Mus musculus: one gene and its partners. The protein of the gene in region 3 interacts with the protein of the main gene of each other region in a pairwise test. Links are inferred from orthologs where the notes say so. Each region holds a gene or a part of one and is shown on either strand. Other genes may lie near its edges. The genes, in order: Apip, Dhps and Nudt18.

Region 1 (5,731 bases), on a different chromosome or scaffold from region 3:
GCCTCCCAGGGTGGTGCAAACCCTGAAAGCGCTTTTGAGAGAAGGTGCCTTTGCACAGAATCCAGCAAAGCACAGGTGAAACCGCAGGCAGAAGGGAAGCGAAGCTGCGCATGCTGGACCTTCTCGCTTCCTGGATCCAGTCTCCGGGAAAGTCGTGAAAGACTGAGGCAAGCAAGCTCCCTGATGGGGGCTTAGAGTTGTAGGTAGGCAGGTTCACAGCTATGCAGATTGTGGAATAGTCACAGCACCAGAAAGGTGTGTATACTGCAGGTTCTATGTGCTCTTTTGATTTTGTCCAATTTGGCTTTATTTGAAAATTAATTATTCATGCCCAAGTGTGTTGAATTCTGTTTTGAAAAAATTCTAACACACCTTTACTGCTTTCCGTATTAATGGCTACATTAAATAACTTCAACACTTTCTCTTTGGATCAAATTTGGACTCTTGCTTATGCTAATAAACATATGCTTTACTACCGAATGTCACCCTCACCTGAAAGTTTGTTTTATGTTTATGCCAGAGTCCTCCCAGAGGAAAGCCGAGGTCCAGATGTGTGCTGGTGTTTTAAGGTGAAAGAAAGGAAGACATGGAAATAAATGGAGCTACTGTTAGGCATAAGTACGCATTTCTGTGGCACAAAAGTGAAATGTCTTCAAAGTGGGATGAAAGCTATTCACACTTTCATGTCTAATATATTCTGAATGTCACTGCGTCTGTTTCTGCCATACCATAGCGTCTCTTCTATTCATTGTGATTCTTTAGCTTCATGCTATATAGGTGTTACGCTCACTGAGAGCCAACTCTAACAACAGCTGAAAGGCACCATTGGCATCCAGGGGTGCAATAGACAGTAAGCTCTCCCTTTCTGTCCGTTCCAAAGGTAACATTTCCACGTTCACACTCTTGGGCCGCACAGGTTAAATGGCTGCACCTGAAAGTCAGCAGATGTGTGGCTGCCAGGGCTCCGTTACTTCCCTGTAATGGTATCTTCCTGATCTGAGTGGCTGAGGAGGACAATAGCAGCACTGCCCGCCATTGGTGTGCTGTAGCAGGGAGCTGGCTAATGGCTCTAATACCTCAATACTGGGGAAAGACAAAAGGAGAGGGGGATCTATAATAATAGACCATTTTCGGTAATGTTTGCAATTTGTTGCGCAAATTTGGTCTTAATGATTGGAACACTGCAGGAGTCTCCCCATTAGTTGTATTTAATATGTAATTAAAATATCATTTATGTTCCCCAAAAAGGAAATAGCAAATTATATGGGGCATAGAATTTTTTTGGCTAGATTCCTTGAGAAGAGTAAAGAAATCCATTTTATTATTAACTTTTAAGTAATTAATTTGTGTTCAAGAACTTTAACTCTTTAAAGTGTAAGGAAGTTCATATTATGTCACATGGTTTTCTGTGGAGTGCTTTTACTGTAGAGACTTTTAAATTTTATTTTTAAATATGTATATATGTGCTCAACTTTGTGTGATATATGCACATGAGTGTAAATGCCCAAGGACTCCCCGGCAGAGATGTTGGCTCCTCTGGAGCTGGAGTAACATTGATTGTGAGCTGACTGACATGGGTGCTAGGAACTGAACTCCAAGCTTCTGCAAGACAGTACGGACCTTAACCTCTGAACCATCTCTCCAGCCCCAACTTTTATGTTATATTGTGTGTGTATCTCTCTGTGTCTCTGTGTGTGTTTGTGTGTGTGTGTGTGTGTGTGTGTGTGTGTGTGTGTGTTGGTAGATAGATATGTGCACATGCAGGTGCCTAAGAAGACCAGAGGCTTCAGTTCAGCCTGGAGATGGAGCTATAGATAGTGAATCACTTGATGTGAGTGGTGGGAACTGAACTCTGGTTCTCCCGAGAACAGGACATGCTCTTAGCTGCCGAGCCATCTCTTTAGCTTTGTGCTGTGTGTTTTATCTTCATTTCATCTCACTTTATTCCTCAAAGTGTGCTTATTTCATGGTTGAGTAAAAGTGGGGCTCAGTGTCTTAGTTAAGATTTCTGTTGCTGTGATAGAACACTGAGCAAAGCACCACGGGGAGGAAAGGGTTAATTTCAGCCTACAACTTATAGTCCATCATCCAGAGAAGTCAGGGCGGGAGTACAAGGCAAGAAGCCAGCTGGAGGCAGGATCTGAAGCAGAGGCTATGGGGGAGTGCTGCTTACTGCTTTTCTCCTTGTGGCTTATATAACCCAGAACCGCCAGCCCAGGGCCAGCACCGCCCAAGGTGAGCTGGGCCCACATCAATCATCAATCAAGAAAATGCACCACAGGCGTGATTATTCACAGGCGACAGGTGGGGTCAATTTCTCATTTGAGGTTCCCTCTTCCAAGATGACTCTAGCCTGTGTCAAGTTGATGTAAAACTAGCCAGCACACTCAGCATCGTGTAAATGGTGAATTAGATATTGTGTAGTTTGACCTTCTTTGCTAACTCCTAAACCTGTGCTGATTTTTACAAAAGCCTGACTTTTTCTCATACTCTGAATTTTTTATTTTGAAGGCTACTTCATCAAATTATCATTCATACCACCAAAAGTATTTATCTATATGCATGCATGCATACATACATACATGCATACTCAAACACAGAGGAAAGAAGAGAGAGGATGGGAGAGAGAGAGAGAGAGAGAGAGAGAGAATAAACCAGAGAATGACAAGTAAATAAATATTGGGAAACACAATTTTAGCTGCCCAGTCTGTTGAAATAATGGTTTTCCTCTGGACTCGGGAATGGTTTTCCCCTTTACCCAGGGCCGCCGTCCATAGTCAGTTATTTCCTGTGCTTTTCTCCGTAGCAAGGGTTTCTTGTTTGCTGAGACTGCAGCCCACCGAGTCTTGAGTTTATTTGGAGGTTTTCTGTGTGGTACAAGTCTGGAGTTTATCTCAGAGTTCTGATGCTGGTCCAGCTATCAGAGTGAAGCCCAGAGAGCCCAGAACTTTTTGCAGGTGGCTTGAAGTGAACGTCAGCTTTGGAGTGCCCTGCCCCCAAGACATTTCCCTGAGGAGTCCTGCGAAGTTCACTTTCCACTTCTGCCACCTCTTTTGAAATATTTGTGAACATGACTGACTAGGCAGTTATTATCTGCTTTCCAGCTAAGGCTACATATCGTACTGCCAAAATGGAGCTCGTTGTTCTTCTCTGCTTGCTTTAGATAGTTTAAACTGTTAAGAGAAAAGCAGGGAAAACTGGGAGTTATTGCAGCTAAACATAAGTAAGGGTTGATGTTCCTTCTGGCCTTTATTCACACGGTTCCGTAAAATGCCTTCGTAGAAAAGGATCATAAGTGCTTCTGAGTAGGATTTGTTTATTGATTGTTATTTGCTTGACTTTAATGGTTTGTCATAGTCACTATTATAATTGAATAAGAAGATATTTAAATCACTTTGGAAAACAACATTTTAAAGATAAAATTGAAACTGCCCCAACACAGACTGTGTTGAACATGTATTGATAGTGAAGTGTCATGTATGGTGTTCTAGCAGGGTGTTCTGTGAAGCACTTAGCTGTGTAGCCCAAAGTGTGGGGTTTGTTTGTTTGTTTGTTTTTAGTACTGGGTTCCACTGCCTTTCTGTTGACGCTGTGTCATAGACCCCTGGCATTTCCCTGCCTTGTTTTTACAGCCAGTTCCATAGAGTTGGGACCCCTGTACTGACCAATCCCAGACTGCCAATTAAGTAAATCCATTTCTAACGATTAAGGAAGTGCCAGCTGGAGTGCACAACTTTAAGAGTCATTTGCAAATCATCATCTTCTCTTTCAGGACAAGGAGCACCCCCGATTCCTGATCCCAGAACTTTGCAAACAGTTTTACCATCTGGGCTGGGTCACCGGCACTGGAGGGGGAATCAGCTTGAAGCATGGGTAAGTTCCTGGCTGATCGCAGCTGTGGGAGTTCTTATTTTAGCAGGCCTCAGGGCTGTGTCCAGACCCAGCTGATAGTCAGTTTAGTGCGGGACTGAAGCCGGATACTTTCTAAATGATCGGTGGATGTCTGCATAGCCTGGTGGAGCCAAGGAGCAGAAGCAACAAGCACAATAAATTCCCAGTTGTTAACTGGGATAATTTGGTCCTCTCTGGAACATCACAGGTAAGAAAAGTAGTTGAAGACTTATTTCAAAAGTTCAAAGAAATATTTAAAAGTCACTTAAATAGAAATTATTAATCATTAAATTCTAATTAAGTTCAAAAATCCATATTTACTAAGTTCAAAACAGGCCATGTGCTGTTTTTGAGCAGAGATATCATGATTAACAGGCCCAGCAATGCTACTATCTACTCCTTTGAGGCACTGGGTTTAAAACAGAAGGACTCATTTTCTGTTGCTCACTGAGTTCAGTGAGTGTCTTGTGGTCAAGCAGATGAGGAGTAAGCTGGAGGAAGCAAGCCTCCTTCTCCCAGGGCTTGCTGAAGTGGGTTGATGTCTTCCCCCTGAAATGTAGGAGTCCTGTTGCTGGAGGCGGGGTTTTATTCTGTATTCTAATTCACCTTTTTTCTTTAGCAAAGTTGGATCACTAAAATATTTATATGCTGAGTGTATGTGTACATGGTATGCATGTGTATACATGTACATATATGTATGTGTATGTATCCGTCAAGGAATCTGCATTTTATAATAGGAAATAGGTTGTAAAATAAAATCAGAACATCTTAAACAAAAGGAATTTTACTCCTTCCCACAAAATAATGACTTTGGAATTTCATCTGCTCCAAATTACAGTGTCCTTCATGAAATATTAATTCAACAGTGGGAAATAGCAAAATGTGACTTAGTCAACAGCTTAGACAGCTGTGGATATAAGAATTCTCTCAGTACAGATAAAGCGTCTTCCCTGATCGCCTGCACGGCCATGTTGCCCTGTGCCTAAGCTCTCAGGTTTCCTTATGCACAATATACCTGAAACTATGAATAATTCATTCCTATCTAAGAAGTCAAGTGCCTGTCTGTAATTTAATTTCCCTGATGTATGATTTATTTCTAAAGGCTGCTTTTTATGCTCTCTCTCTCTCTACTGGTGCAGAAAATGGCTTTGTATATAACAGAGCTCCTACCAAACTGAGCTAAAATACTTGTTTCTGGCTTTTTAAAAATATATACAGCAAAGTTAAAAAGAATAGAATGCAAACTCAAGAGAAGTTTTTTTTTTAAGATTTATTTATTTATTATATGTAAGTACACTGTAGCTGTCTTCAGACACTCCAGAAGAGGGCGTCAGATCTTGTTACAGATGGTTGTGAGCCACCATGTGGTTGCTGAGATTTGAACTCCTGACCTTCGGAAGAGCAGTCGGGTGCTCTTACCCACTGAGCCATCTCACCAGCCCCTCAAGAGAAGTTTTTAAAGCAAGAAACTATACAGGACTTCTTCTAGAAGAACTTTACTGTTCCACAGCCTGATTGTGTGCGGCCAACATAAACCATTTATTGGCACATCTCTTAATATGTAATCACTTTTATAGCACCACAATCAATTTATAGGAAAGTTGCATCATCTGTAGTTTTTCGTTATTTTTAATAGGCAAGGAGCTCCCTCTAGGGGCCACAAATGGGAAGAGCCAGAATTTTAAGGCTTCGTTTGGCTTCAAGTTTGTGCCTTACAGACTAAAATGGCTATTTTTAGTAAGGTGCTGAATGTTATCCCTAATATTTAAATGACTTTATTCGACCATATTACTCAGCTTCGTGTTTGCGGTGATGGTTTTGTCTGTGTCTGACTCTTGGT
Region 2 (6,521 bases), on a different chromosome or scaffold from region 3:
CCGACTGATAGTAATAGTTCCCCACCACTCATTCCTTAGGGTGCCTTGGCACTGGCCCTGCCTGTGGGTTCTAATGTGGTACAGTCACTGGCTTACCATCCCACGGAACCCTGCCTACTGACTGCCATGGGAGGCAGCATCCAGTACTGGCGAGAAGAGACCTATGAGGCAGAGGGTGGAGCAGGCTGAGGCTTACGGACCTGACACCAAGGATGCAGACTGACTCAGAAAACCCAACCAAAGGGCCATTTATTCTAGAGATGCTGCTGACCAAGGAGTGGGCCTAGGGAGGGGCTGGCATGTAAAGTAATAAATAAAGGTGTGGCAAAAAGCCTCAGTCTTTACCAATCTTCTTAGTCTTCATTCTTCTCAGCTCTGAAGGCATCTGCCTTTTGGGCGAATGTCTCAGCCACCAGCAAGGGGAAAACCAGAGAAGCATCAGCATAGACCTGCAGAAGACCTCAGTGAGCCCTGGAGCCATGGGCAGCCCACGGACCCTGCACCCTGCCCTGCCACCATCTACCTTTACTGGCTGTGCGTCCATCCGGATCTTGCCCCAAGAGACAGCCTCATCTGGCCGGGCTCCGGAGTCTGAGCCATCAAACTCCTGGGCTGTGTTGATATAAACAGCGTAGTCTGCTCCATTCCTCTGTGGGTAGAGGAAGCCCTCGTCAGAAGCCGTAGAAGGCTGGGTATGATGCAGAGGAAGGCCTAGAGAGCTTTTAGGAAGGGCCCATCAGTGCCTGAGGCTGCCACAAACCATCCGCAGGAGACCACACCTACCTCTGCTCCCACTACAGCACTATTCCATGCCTCCGATCCATTCCCCTTCACCCCACAGCCACCATATAACACAGTGGGGACGGTCACAGGCCACTGCACTCACCATGAGGTTAGCGTTGGCAATGTGGTGCTTGACCACACCTCCACCCAGGATGATCATCCCAGAGCGCTTGGCGAAAATGGCCTGCGTGTTGATGAGTCGCAGGTCTGTGAGAGGGCAGAGGTCAGGCCTTGACCTCGGCGGGCTTTCCTCCCCCTCCTCCCCGGGCCTTAGCACCTCACCTTCAACAATGTCCAGGACCAAGCCTGGGTTTTTATAGGAATGGAAGAAGATCATGTCACCCAGTGAGCCATCTGTGAGTGCTGGACTCAGCACAGGGATGTGGTTCTGGTGGAGACAAGACCAGTCAGCAGCTACAGCTCACACCCCAGGAAAACCCTGACCCCCAACCCAGTGGCGTCCCTCCCAACCTGTGTAGGCCACTCAATTTCTCTGCTGGACATGACCCCTCTGTTCTACATGTGGAGGCAGAGTGAGGAAAACCACACATGGCTTGAAGGTGCTGGCACACTGAGCACTGGCTTGTCACTTCCAGACTCTTGTGCTGCACTGTCCCTGGGTGCACAGTACCCTGGGTCAGGCCCCACTGACTTCTAGGGTACTACACTAAATCCCGGGAGTGTAGGGGCATAACTAGGAGAACCTTGCCATCAAGTGATACACCTCGTCTAATTTGGGGAGACCAAGAATAATTATAGAGACGCTCAGGTAGCTACAAAGACAAAGTCAGTACAAGCCAAAGCCTGGGAATACCGTCCCCACCCAACCCACCTTATGGGCCCAATAATACACAGAGTCTGGGTTGTTGATCTCCTTCCCAAGCCGGGAGATCATCTTGGAAGGTGTCCACTTCACACCCTATCATGGGAGAGAATATCGTATTAGCTCATATGTCTTCTGACTCTTACTATGCAGGTCCCCGAGCCCTTCCAGCCCCACCTCTGTGTTCTGCTCCAGCACCATCTGGTCCAGAATGGGCATGAGCCAGTCCTCAAACTTGCAGTAATTGTCATTCGGCACCAGCAGGTTTCCAATCCTGGAAATGGGAGCCATGCGGGCATGGGTCACGGGGATCCTCTGCCCAGCTTCCCCGCCCCGACCACTACTCAAAGCCTCCCTCACCTGTTGATCCCACTCTCCCGGAGCTCCTTCCCCCTGAGGCTGAACTCGCCAAGGTATGTGGGCGCCAGGCATTTGATGAGATCTTCTTCCACACCTCCAGCAGTGGTCACCAATACATCCACCTGTGGTCGGTCGCAGGCAACACTGACCCCCCCTTCTAAGCAGCAACCTAACCTGGGTGAGCTCATCCAGACCTAAGCATGAGCGCTACAACAAAACCAACTCCAGGCCAGGCCTCCCTCTGCCTGAAGCAGACCCACAGCCAGAAAAAGTGGCACGGTCTTGCGATCCCAGCACTCGGAAAGGAGGCTGAGGCATGAGGACTGCCGGGATGTCAAAGAACAATACTCCATCTCCTCACACCCTTTTTTTTTTTTAATCTATTTTGGGCGGTGGTGGTGCATGCCTTTAATCCCAGCACTTGGGAGGTAGAGGCAGGCAGAATTTCTGAGTTCAAGGCCAGCCTGGTCTACAGAGTGAGTTCCAGGATGGACAGCCAGGGCTATACAGAGAAACCCTGTCTCAAACAAAACAAAAACAAAAAAGACTAAAAGATGTATTTAATATATGTGAATACACTGTCCCTCTCTTCAGACACACCAGATCTGTAATGGCATCAAAAGATCCCATTACAGACGGTTCTGAGTCACCATGTGGTTGTTAAAAAGCAAACCCAAATCTTTCACAGGACCGCAAATAATCTCTGAGCCTCTTCATTTCTCTTAACTGAAAAATAACCCTTTTTTTTTTTTTCCTACTGGCCCAAGGAGGCTGGGGTTCCAGAGCTAACGTGGACCCACCATGTTGTGCTGCACGAGGTATCGAATGGTCTCCCGGATGCCTGAACTGATGAGGTTGGAAGTATAGCCCAAGAAAATGGTGCAGCCTGTAAGTGGGCGGCGGCTCTGAGTCAGGTCTGCGTGATGATCTTCATCTACAGCCAGTGGCTCCAGTTTTTTCTCAATCTGGTCATAAGGGCACAGGAAAGTTGCACTAAGACTCCAAACCTCAGTTGAGGTACCCTACCTGGCCTGGATTCCAGAGGTTGATTGCACTCAGGGAGACTACTACAAAACCAAAGCACAACCCCTGGGCAGACCCTAACCCTCCCATTCCAGGTCCAGGTCTGTCACTTGATGGTTTGAGAACCACCCAGTATCTTCAAGTCTCCTTCCACCGGGAAAATCGAACCCCGGGCTCCCCTAGCGTTAAGCTCCTCCTACAAAGCCCTTTTGGATTTTTAACTCCAAGCTCCACCCATCGCAGAACTCTAGTTTACCCGGACTCCGCCCTCTCCCGGACGCTCACGCGGAAATCCGCGCGCAGCGGCCCGGCATCCCGCCCGGGTGGCCCCGCGCCTCACCATGGCGTTGACTTGCTGCACCGCGCGCCCGAAGTTGGTAGCCTGGAAGCCGGTGGTGCGGTAGGCGTCCAGAAGCGCATGGTAATCTACGCCGCGGTTGAAGTCGTAGCCTTGGACCTGGGCGCTCTCGGGCGGCAACGCTGAGCTGTGCTTGAGCACGGCGGCCAGCGCCGAGGAGGGCGCCGCCCCTGGCGGGGTCCCTTCCATGTGCTCGCGGCCGCTCTCAGGTCTCAGCAGCCTCGGCGCCCTGAGACCCGCAAAATCCCTCAGCGAGGTCGGCCGGAGCCCAGGAAGTGCGACTCGAGAGCCTTGGGGGCGTGGGGCGACGAAACCGGAAGTCACTTGGTCTCGTGACCTTGGGCAGCGCCCGCCGTCCTGGTAGCCGCCATTTTATCCCTGTGTTCCGTACATGTGGTCCAGGAGCTGTTACTGAGCTTCAAGCATAGGGAAGTGCCTAGTTTGCAAGCTGTCTCTCTGTCCAAATATTCTTGTCCCCCATGAGCGAAGTGATTGTTTCTTGGACGGTGTCCTTGAACACGACTTAGGGCATCAGGCAAAAAAAAAAAAAAAAAAGAGTTGCAGCCTTTTGTCAAATGGAATAGTGTTTTCTTTTGATGCTTCTTCCAGTCTCCACAAACTTTGTTGCCTCCTCTTTTCCCCCTCCAGCCATAGCTCAATTTTAACTGGATCATGGGCCTCTGGGGAGGCAGGGATGACTGCCATCTATTTACCACGAGAAGCTTGCTGAGAATCTATCATGCATCCTCTTAATGATACACTGAGCCTAGGACAGGGGCACCCCTTCTTCTGGTTTGTGTAGTCTAGACTAGAAATAGTGCTCTCTGCTGGAAGCTGAGATTTAGCAATGGACAAGACCTCTGACCTCCCGGTGACCATAGTATGATGAAACAGAAAATGGTTTAGTGATTAAACCAGGCTTGGGACACACTGCAATCCAGAGGTCGAGGCAGAAGAATCTCGAGTTCCAGGCCAGGCTGAACGATAGAGAGCAGGACCCTGTCTTAACAAAAGGGACCTGTGTGGCTAGGGAAATAGATGTTAGTATGGTCCTTGCTTTTTGAAAAAGCAAGAGTGTGGATTGTATATGTGCGTTCAATTACCAGAACTCAAGGGGCTTGGGGGTTGACAATACCAGTAATTCCAGCTCTGGGGAAGCAGAGACAGGCAGATCCTTGGGATGGGGCCTGCAGAATGACTCAGTAGCCAAAGGCTTACGATAGAAGAAGAGTCTGGATTCCCATACATTCTCTTCTGACCGCCACAGCAGGCCATGCATGCACAAGGTCATAACACAGGCTTGAGGACCAGGTGAATGTCTTCTGAGAGTGACATATGAGGTTGTCCTCTGGCCTACAATCAATCAATCAATCTCTCTCTCTCTCTCTCTGAAGAGGAGGAGGAGGAGTTGGTAACCTGAGCTGAAGGAAAAGGTGATTGGTGAAAACTGCCAAGACCAGAAGACCCAGAAAATTCCTATTACATAAAGACTTCAGAGACACTATTTTTCCAACGATCCCCTTCATTTAACCAATATCTGCCATCAGTGCCCAGTACCACTACCTGGAGGGAGGTCTGCATACATCCGGGAGGGCAAAGTGACTTGAATCCATGATACTTATCACCTCCTCCTCCTCCTCTAGGGAAAAAGTTGAATGAAGGTAGCTATGGCTACTCTGACTAAGATAGTGATGGCGGGGGGGCTAGAGAGATGGCTCAGCTGTTAAGAGCACTGACTATTCTTTTTTTGGTTTTTTGAGACAGGATTTCTCTGTATAGCCCTGGCTGTCCTGGAACTCACTCTGTAGACCAGGCTGGCCTCGAGCTCAGAGATCCGCCTGCCTCTGCCTCCCAAGTGCTGGGATTAAAGGTGTGCACCACCACGCCCGGCACAGCACTGAATATTCTTAGGAAGGTCCTGAGTTCAAATCCCAGCAACCACATGGTAGCTTACAACCATCTGTAATGACATCTGACGCCCTCTACTGCTGTATCTGAAGACAGCTACAGTGTACTCATATAAATAATAAATCTTTTTTTAAAATACATATACATATAGTAATGGCTGTTATGCTCAGAGTCACCATGATCAGCAAGCAGAGGGAAGAGCAGGTAGGGACATAGCAAGAACTTGGTCTCTAGGCTGGTAAGACATGACTTATTGGGTAAAGCCTTTTGTCAGGAGGCCTGGATACCTGAGTTCAATCCCAAGGCCACCGTGGTAGAACAGGTTCTCAGAATGTTAGCCTCTGACCGGTTTCACATGCAACTACCTTACCCTCAACGCACACAATAATTTTTTTTTTTTTGAGACAGTCTCACCATGGAACTGACTGGCCTGGAATTTATTATGTAGACCTGGCAGCCTCAACTCACAGAGATCAACCTGCCTCTACCTCCTGAGGGCTGAGATAATGAATGCAATTTTAAAATAAAAAATTATGCGTTTGTTTGTTTTGGGTTTTTTTGTTTTTTTGTTTTTTTTTTTTTTTTTTTGGTTTTGGTTTTTCAAGACTGGGTTTCTCTGTGTAGCCCTGGCTGTCCTGGAACTCACTCTGTAGACCAGGCTGGCCTCGAACTCAGAAATTCACCTGCCTCTGCCTCCCGAGTGCTGGGATCTGTGCCACCACTGCCCCCAACTTAAGATAAAAATTGTAAAAGACGTTGCTGAAGCAATCCTCTTTAGAGAAATCAACACCAGCACCTTGATGTCAGATTTCCAGCCACCCAGGCAACAATTCCCAGGGTTTATACAATTCACTCTGTGGCTTTGTTGGAGCAGTTCAGCCAGGCTAATACCCTGGTAAAAGAAAGAATGAACAAATGAATGAACAGATGAACAGTGTCAGGATAACCCTTAAGGGACAAAGGGGAAGGATGATAAGCAGGCTAGGTGTGATGCGAATCCCAGGCTGGCTACTCAAGGGGATGAGTCAGTGCCATCTTAGCCCAGGAGTCAAAGTTTAGTCTAAATGATATAGCCCCTGTCTGGGTAATAATGGTGTTGATCACGTAAATAACAGGAAATTCCAAGAGGTAATCTGGTAGACTCTGCAGAGGATGAGTTTACTGTAAGAGGCCTCAAAACAAGGGGACATTCTCTTCATTTTCTTGACAGGGTCCCTGTGTGGCCCAGGCTGCTCTCTAAATCCTGGCTCCCAGCAGACAATCTTT
Region 3 (6,316 bases):
CAAGACTCACCCACCTGTCTCTGACCACTGCTCTTTATCCTAAGGCCTTGAGAAATCCAACCTTTTTGGTTGCCTCCCCAAGCACTCTGGGAAGGACTGTACCCCCTTCAGATGCCTTCTGTGTGTCCCCTTCACCCTTTACAAAGGGCTTTCGGTGTTCTATTGCTTCCATGTGCCTTATGACAAGGCAACGAGGCCTTCCGCAGCAGATGCGTGTTTTCCCCTTCCCCCATGATAATGGAACTGCGGTTGTGGCAGCCTTTGCTCTACCAGGCAGTTGGGCCGGCTGCTGTTTATCTTAGGACGCCTCTGCCACTCTCCCAGCCTGCCCAGACATGACCTCACCCTCTCCCAAATCATCCCTGGGAGAAAGAATGGAGTGTCTGACCAGTGCTGCCTCCACTTCACAGATGGGAAAACTGAGGCACTGAGAGAGCAAAAGGGGGGTAGGGGGAGAGGAGGGTAGGGGAAGAGAGAGGTGGAGAAGAGAGAGGAGGCCTTTAACAAGTGGCTCTGCACCCTGGGGCCTGATCTTGACCCTCTGCCGATGACTACAGTTAATTTAGAAATAGGAGGTCTTCAGTGGCCTCAAGTCAGAAGTGTCCAAGTGCCTGAAAATACTGTGGGCCACTAACAGTGCCCATCCAACCTCACGTAGATTTCCTCTTCAGGGAGTTTGCATCAGCATCGGGGAGAAGAAAGGCTGAGACCAGTCCCGGAGGGCTGAGATCGCCTGCCAGTCAAGTCTACAGAGCACAGATGTGGTTTTGTGGTGCTGGGAATTGAACTCAGGGCCTTGTGTATGCTAGGTAAATACTCTACCGCTGAGCTATACTCCCCAGTTTCACGGTGTGTGTGTTCTTGTATGTGCAGGTGTGCTCTATGGACTATGGCTTTGAGACCCTACCTGGAGAACAGGTGGGCTGCCTGGTGACGGTGTTCAGATAGTGCATGGCTTCTCCCAAGCTCTCTTGGCTTCTCAACAAGTATGGAAAAGGAGGGCTGTTACAGACCTACTGTACAGATGAGGACATTGAGGCCACCCAGGGCACAGAGCACGTCAGTCAGCAGAGGCTGGATGTCTGGCTTTTAAACTCCAGAGCTTTGTCAGTACCATCAAGCCACTGTCCCCCAAAGGAGGTACACAGAGCCAGCAGTGGGGGAGGAAAGGGAAGTCTGGGATGGGGTGAGGAGCCCAGACTTGGCCTGCTTTGTGGATTCCTCTCAGCTGGCCCTGCCTTCCTGTCCTGAGTGGAGGTTAAAGAAGCTCAGAGGAAGAAAGGTCAGGCTGGGAGAGAAGCAGGAGCTGGCCAAAACAACCCACACCCTGTTCCTCATGACCAGGCCCTGGACGCTGGGTAGGAGGGCACCACCCCTGCCCTCTAAAGATGGAGTCTGTTTCAGAAGCCTGGGAAAAGCATTGGGCACAGGATCGGATGCAGGCTACAGTGCTGACTTCAATCTCCCTTTCATTCATCCCCCCCCCCCTTAGCTTCTTCTCATCCCCAGCCTTGTCCCACCTTGACCACCTGTCCCATCCCTCCTCTGAGGCTTGTCAATCACGTTCCCCATCCCCCACCCCACCCCCAAACCAATCCTTTAGCCTCGGACTCTTAAAATGCCCTGTGTCCATCGACCTAGACAGATCAGAATTTCTAACGCAACGTTATGTGCCTGAGCCATACCACATTCAGAGCATTTTAACGAAGTCAGAAAGTTATTTGGGGCCTATTCGTCGTGAGCACTTCTGTGGTTCGTTTATGATAAAAGCTGGACAGTGGGAGCGAACGGCGGAGTCTGGGCTTCCGTAATGTCATCGGACGAGTGACGCCATCGACCCTGGTCACAGTGGTGTTCATCACCCTACAGGCAGGATGACATCACCGTCGGAACCCGCGCGGACAAGTGCGTGCTGGGTGAATTAGCTAATCGCTAGGGAGAGTGTGAAGTGAGGCTGAAACCCAGGAGAGGAGGGGGCAGAGGGAGGATCCCGGCGCCCCGCCCTCCCGATAACCGCTGCGAGCTGGCCAATCCGGGCAGGCCGCAGTGACGCGCAGCCTATCAGCGACCAGGTCTCTCCCGGAGGTTCCGTGTTAGTCTTGGCCCTCAAGTCAGGGGAGGGGGCGAGGGCGCCGCGGCCCACCGCAGCTCAGGTCCCGGCCGCTTGCCTCCGGGGGTCTGGCAGGTCCCGGCTTGCCACCTCCCCGGAGACTTGATGGCCACGGAGGGCCTGGCAGGGGCGCTTGCCACCGTGCTGGGGGGAAAGGGGTTGCTGGTGCAGAGCTGTGACTCGGAGCCGGCTGGGAAGCCGCTGTTTCCCGTGCGGCTGCGGAAGAATGTCTGCTACGTGGTGCTGGCCGTGTTCCTCAACGAGCAGGTGAGCGTCCGACCGGCCGCTGGCCTTCGGCTGGTCTCGGGAGCGTGCCGCCTGCCCTGATCTGAACAGGCGAGCCAACGGCCGCTGCCTGTATGTGGCGCTTCCCAATGTTGCAAAGCACTCTCAACACTAGCAGCTGAGCTGAGATCGTCCTTCTGTAGACTCTATAATATGGAAGGAGAAGCCGAGGTCCCGGGGCGGTTTATCTCATCCACTAGACCTCGCCCCCCACCAGGAGAGGCCTGTAATATGCCCCCTTCCTTTCCAGGAGTCTAGACTCTCCCGGCGCCTCGGGAGAGTAATGGGGAGCTTACATGCAGGCCTCCGATCCTGTGAGAGTTCTTTTTAGTGATCACTTCTGCACAAGTCAGCGTTATAAAATCCTGGCCAAGAAGGGGTAGGTTGGTATAGGGGTGGAGCTAAGTTTCAAAGCCTCAGACCCTAGATTGAGGACTTGACACAGGCGGTTTGTAAGTCCCATGGGAACAAGAGCAAGACAGTGGCATAAATGAGTCAGTATAGGAGTGGTGGCAACCTTCAGGAGGAAGCCTCCTAGAGCAACGCCCAAGGTCCTCAGCCCCTTTCTACAACAGAAGTCCCTCTGGGTTTGAGTTACAGCAAAGCGGAGACAGCCACTGCTTTCAGCCATATCAGGGCCTGACTCCTGAGGATCCAGCATCCTAAAGGTGTCTGTCTACCAAGAAGGGAGCTTTGGGCTGCCATCCAGGTAGGGGCTACTCTTCTGAAGCCCCCAGACTGGCTGGGTAGGAGTGAAGATTGTCTCACTTCCCTCCCTCCCAGGATGAGGTGTTGATGATACAGGAGGCCAAGAGGGAATGCCGGGGGACATGGTACCTCCCTGCAGGAAGAATGGAACCAGGAGAAACCATCGTGGAGGCCATGCAGCGGGAGGTGAAGGAGGAGGCAGGGCTGCTCTGTGAGCCAGTGACACTGCTGTCCGTGGAGGAGAGGGGCGCCTCCTGGATCCGCTTTGTGTTCCTCGCTCGACCAACAGGTATCCCCCACCTAGTGACATTTCTCACGGTCCCTCATCCATAGCCAGCCATACTGTGGGCTTCTGCTTATGGCCATTGACCTACTACGGGCTAAGAGCTTTTGGGGGTCTCTCTCTCTCTGGAGTGTTGGGGTGGCCATTTACTCTCTCAGGCTCAACCCTTCTCATACTGGCCCTCTTCCCACCCCACCCCCCAAATCTCTCCTAGGCGGAGTTCTCAAGACTTCCAAAGATGCTGATTCTGAGTCCCTCCAGGCCGGCTGGTACCCACGGGTCTCCCTGCCCACACCGCTTAGAGCCCATGATGTTCTGCACCTGGTAGAGCTAGGCGCCAAATTCTGCCAACAAGCCATGCACCCTCTCATTCTGCCTCAAGAGCTCCCCTGCAGTGTGGTCTGCCAACGGCTGGTGACCACCTTCACAACAGTCCAGTCGGTGTGGGTGTTGGTGGGCACGGTGGGGACACCTCACTTGCCCATCACTGCCTGTGGCTTTACCCCTATGGAACAAAGGGGCGGCATCAAGGTGGCCATCTTGAGGCTCCTACAGGAGTGTCTGACTCTGCACAGTTTGGCAGTGGAGACCAAGGGGTTGCTTGGGTTGCAACACCTAGGCAGAGACCATGTGGATGGTGTCTGCCTGAATGTGCTGGTGACCGTGGCTTTTCGGAACCCAGGAATCCAAGACGAGCCCCCAAAGATTCGGGGTGAAAACTACTTTTGGTGGAAGGTATTAGAGGAAGATTTACAAAAACTGCTTCTGTACAGACTCCAGGAATCTTCTGTGATCCCCCTGAGCAGATAGAGAGATTCCAGCAGGGACCAAAAGCTGAGCTGCCCCCTCCCTCTGAGGCAGAGAAAAGGCTGGCAGTCAGGGATCTCATTGCACATTTTGAGGGGGCAGGGACCACACATTGAGCCCAAAGGGAGGGTGTCTTGAATCCACTTTTCAAGGGCTCAGTTCTGAGGGCACACAGTACTTGTCTTTTAAGTTGGTGAGGAACTTTTTGAACCCTAAATGGCACCATCTTTGTCCACTTTGGAAAAGGCTGCATGTCAATCCTTCCAACCCCATAGGAATGTAGAGAGGGATGGGACATGGGGGACGCATCCCTCAGGGCAGAGTCCTCATTGCTGAGTAAAAAGGTATTGCTTAACCTGCCTGCTTGCCTAAATGTCTGTGTGGGGAGGATATGGGGCACTGTCCCACCCACAGTCACCCAGGTCTTTCCTCACCGTGTACACACTGATGCTATGCAGGGATGTAAGGATCCTGAGGCAGACATCGATGCTCGCTGAAGCCTCGACCCACCCAGGCTCTTTTTAGTGTTCCTGTCCTGTCAGGGCGGGCGTGGGACTTTGAAGTGACCACACCCCTAATAAAAGCACAGCTCAGACCTGTCCAGGTGTTGAACGGTTCGGTCTGGTGAAACTGCCTAGGGAACAAGAAAGAGCTGAGGATGACACGTTGGCCTCTGCCAGTCTTTTTCTCTTTGAGCTTCCTGGGCTCTGACCTGTTCCGTGTGCTCTCGGACCTGGCTTTTTGGTTTTTGTTCATGTCCCTGTCCTCAGTTCATGTCGCCCAGGCAGACTGTGAACTCTTATAATGTAGCTGGTGATGACCTTGACTCATCCAGATTCTGCAGAAGTCAAGCCCTTTTATCAATGGGTTACACTCCCAGGCCAGCACAGGATTCTGTTTTCTTGAGATAGACTCTGCCCACATAGACCAGGCTGACCTCAATCAAGTTTGTTGTGATCTTCCTGCCTCCAATTCTTGAGTCCTGGGAATACAGATGTGCTCCAGCATGCTGCTGCTTATCATTAGCATCATTATTATTATCTGATGAAAGCTTCGGAGCTGGCGAGGTGGCTCCGCTCAGCAGTTAAGAGCATATGCGGCTGGCTCATGCTGAGGACCTGAGTTTGGTTTCCAGTCCTTGCACCAAGTGGCTCACAACCACCTCCAGCTTCAGGCTTTCTGAAACCCTCTCTAGCCTCTGAGGGCACTCACTCAATGTGTACATCTCCTATGCAGACATACATAATTAAAAATAGAAATGAAAATGAAAATCAAAAGCAGTTGGAGCAAAGGAAATGTATCCCATGTTGCTAATCATCACATTAGATTTCTGATTCTGAGCAAGGAGACGCACTTCCTAGCATTGCTTTTCACAGAGGACAGTAGCTTGAGGAGCCAGAAAAACTCCTTGATCCTTTTCCTAGTGCCCCAGGCCTCTTTGGTAACCATCTTGTCTGGTCTCTAGAAAGAGGAATCCTCCTTAGACTCCCTGAGGACATAGTTTCCAAATGATAAACCAAAGCGAGGTATGATGGCACACACCTTTTATCCCAGCATTCGGGAGGCAGAGGCAGGAGGATCTCTAGGAATCTATATAGCAAGTTCCAGGACAGCCAGTACTACATAGTGAGGCCCTATTTCAAAAACTAGAACAAAATAAATGAAGTCTTTTCTATTTTATTTTTGGAGTGCTGTGGGTTGAACCCAGGGGCTCACACATTTTGGGTTAAGCAGGCTACCTAATGGTCTCACTGAAAACCAAAACCTTTTATTCAGGTCAGGACTCCTCCAGTTCCCCCACACACAGAGAAGGGCAGTGACATTCACTGCCACCATTTAGCCTGGTGGCTTTTGATCCTGAGTACACATCACTGTCACCCAGACAGTTCTCAGTTCTGTCCACCCACTAGGGTGACTAAGCTGCTGAAACCAGCTGGGAGCTGGCGTGTGTGTGTGTGTGTGTGTGTGTGTGTGTGTGTGTGTGTCTGTCCAAGCGCATGAGCAGGCACATGCATGCACATAAGCAAGAGAAGGAGGGTGTCGGGAGCCCTGTTCTATTGCTTTCTACTTTATTCCCGTGAGACAGGGTCTGGTCTATCACTGAACCTGGAGCTAGACTGGCA

The links.
Region 1: the proteins of Nudt18 (region 3) and Apip interact in binary tests that used the Homo sapiens proteins (3 or more experiments, as listed by UniProt). The two-hybrid records come from large-scale screens. The link is inferred for Mus musculus from reciprocal best matches to the Homo sapiens genes NUDT18 and APIP.
Region 2: the proteins of Nudt18 (region 3) and Dhps interact in binary tests that used the Homo sapiens proteins (3 or more experiments, as listed by UniProt). The two-hybrid records come from large-scale screens. The link is inferred for Mus musculus from reciprocal best matches to the Homo sapiens genes NUDT18 and DHPS.

What each region holds. Positions count from the first base shown.
Region 1 is NC_000068.7:103,079,183-103,084,913, forward strand, and holds part of Apip (methylthioribulose-1-phosphate dehydratase), read left to right. Parts: intron 1-3,772; coding exon 3,773-3,873; intron 3,874-5,731. UniProt on the Homo sapiens protein: Catalyzes the dehydration of methylthioribulose-1-phosphate (MTRu-1-P) into 2,3-diketo-5-methylthiopentyl-1-phosphate (DK-MTP-1-P).
Region 2 is NC_000074.6:85,068,862-85,075,382, reverse strand, and holds Dhps (deoxyhypusine synthase), read right to left. Parts: upstream 3,627-6,521; 5' UTR 3,537-3,626; coding exon 3,330-3,536; intron 2,932-3,329; coding exon 2,767-2,931; intron 2,089-2,766; coding exon 1,967-2,088; intron 1,881-1,966; coding exon 1,784-1,880; intron 1,703-1,783; coding exon 1,616-1,702; intron 1,172-1,615; coding exon 1,066-1,171; intron 991-1,065; coding exon 887-990; intron 720-886; exon of another isoform or gene 650-719; coding exon 524-649; intron 450-523; coding exon 354-449; 3' UTR 222-353; downstream 1-221. Other genes in the region: Wdr83 (WD repeat domain-containing protein 83), read left to right, coding at 40-189. UniProt on the Homo sapiens protein: Catalyzes the NAD-dependent oxidative cleavage of spermidine and the subsequent transfer of the butylamine moiety of spermidine to the epsilon-amino group of a critical lysine residue of the eIF-5A precursor protein to form the intermediate deoxyhypusine residue.
Region 3 is NC_000080.6:70,575,734-70,582,049, forward strand, and holds the start of Nudt18 (8-oxo-dGDP phosphatase NUDT18), read left to right. Parts: upstream 1-2,090; 5' UTR 2,091-2,215; coding exon 2,216-2,377; exon of another isoform or gene 2,378-2,774; intron 2,775-3,178; coding exon 3,179-3,392; intron 3,393-3,600; coding exon 3,601-4,196; 3' UTR 4,197-6,316. UniProt on the Homo sapiens protein: Mediates the hydrolysis of oxidized nucleoside diphosphate derivatives. Hydrolyzes 8-oxo-7,8-dihydroguanine (8-oxo-Gua)-containing deoxyribo- and ribonucleoside diphosphates to the monophosphates. Hydrolyzes 8-oxo-dGDP and 8-oxo-GDP with the same efficiencies.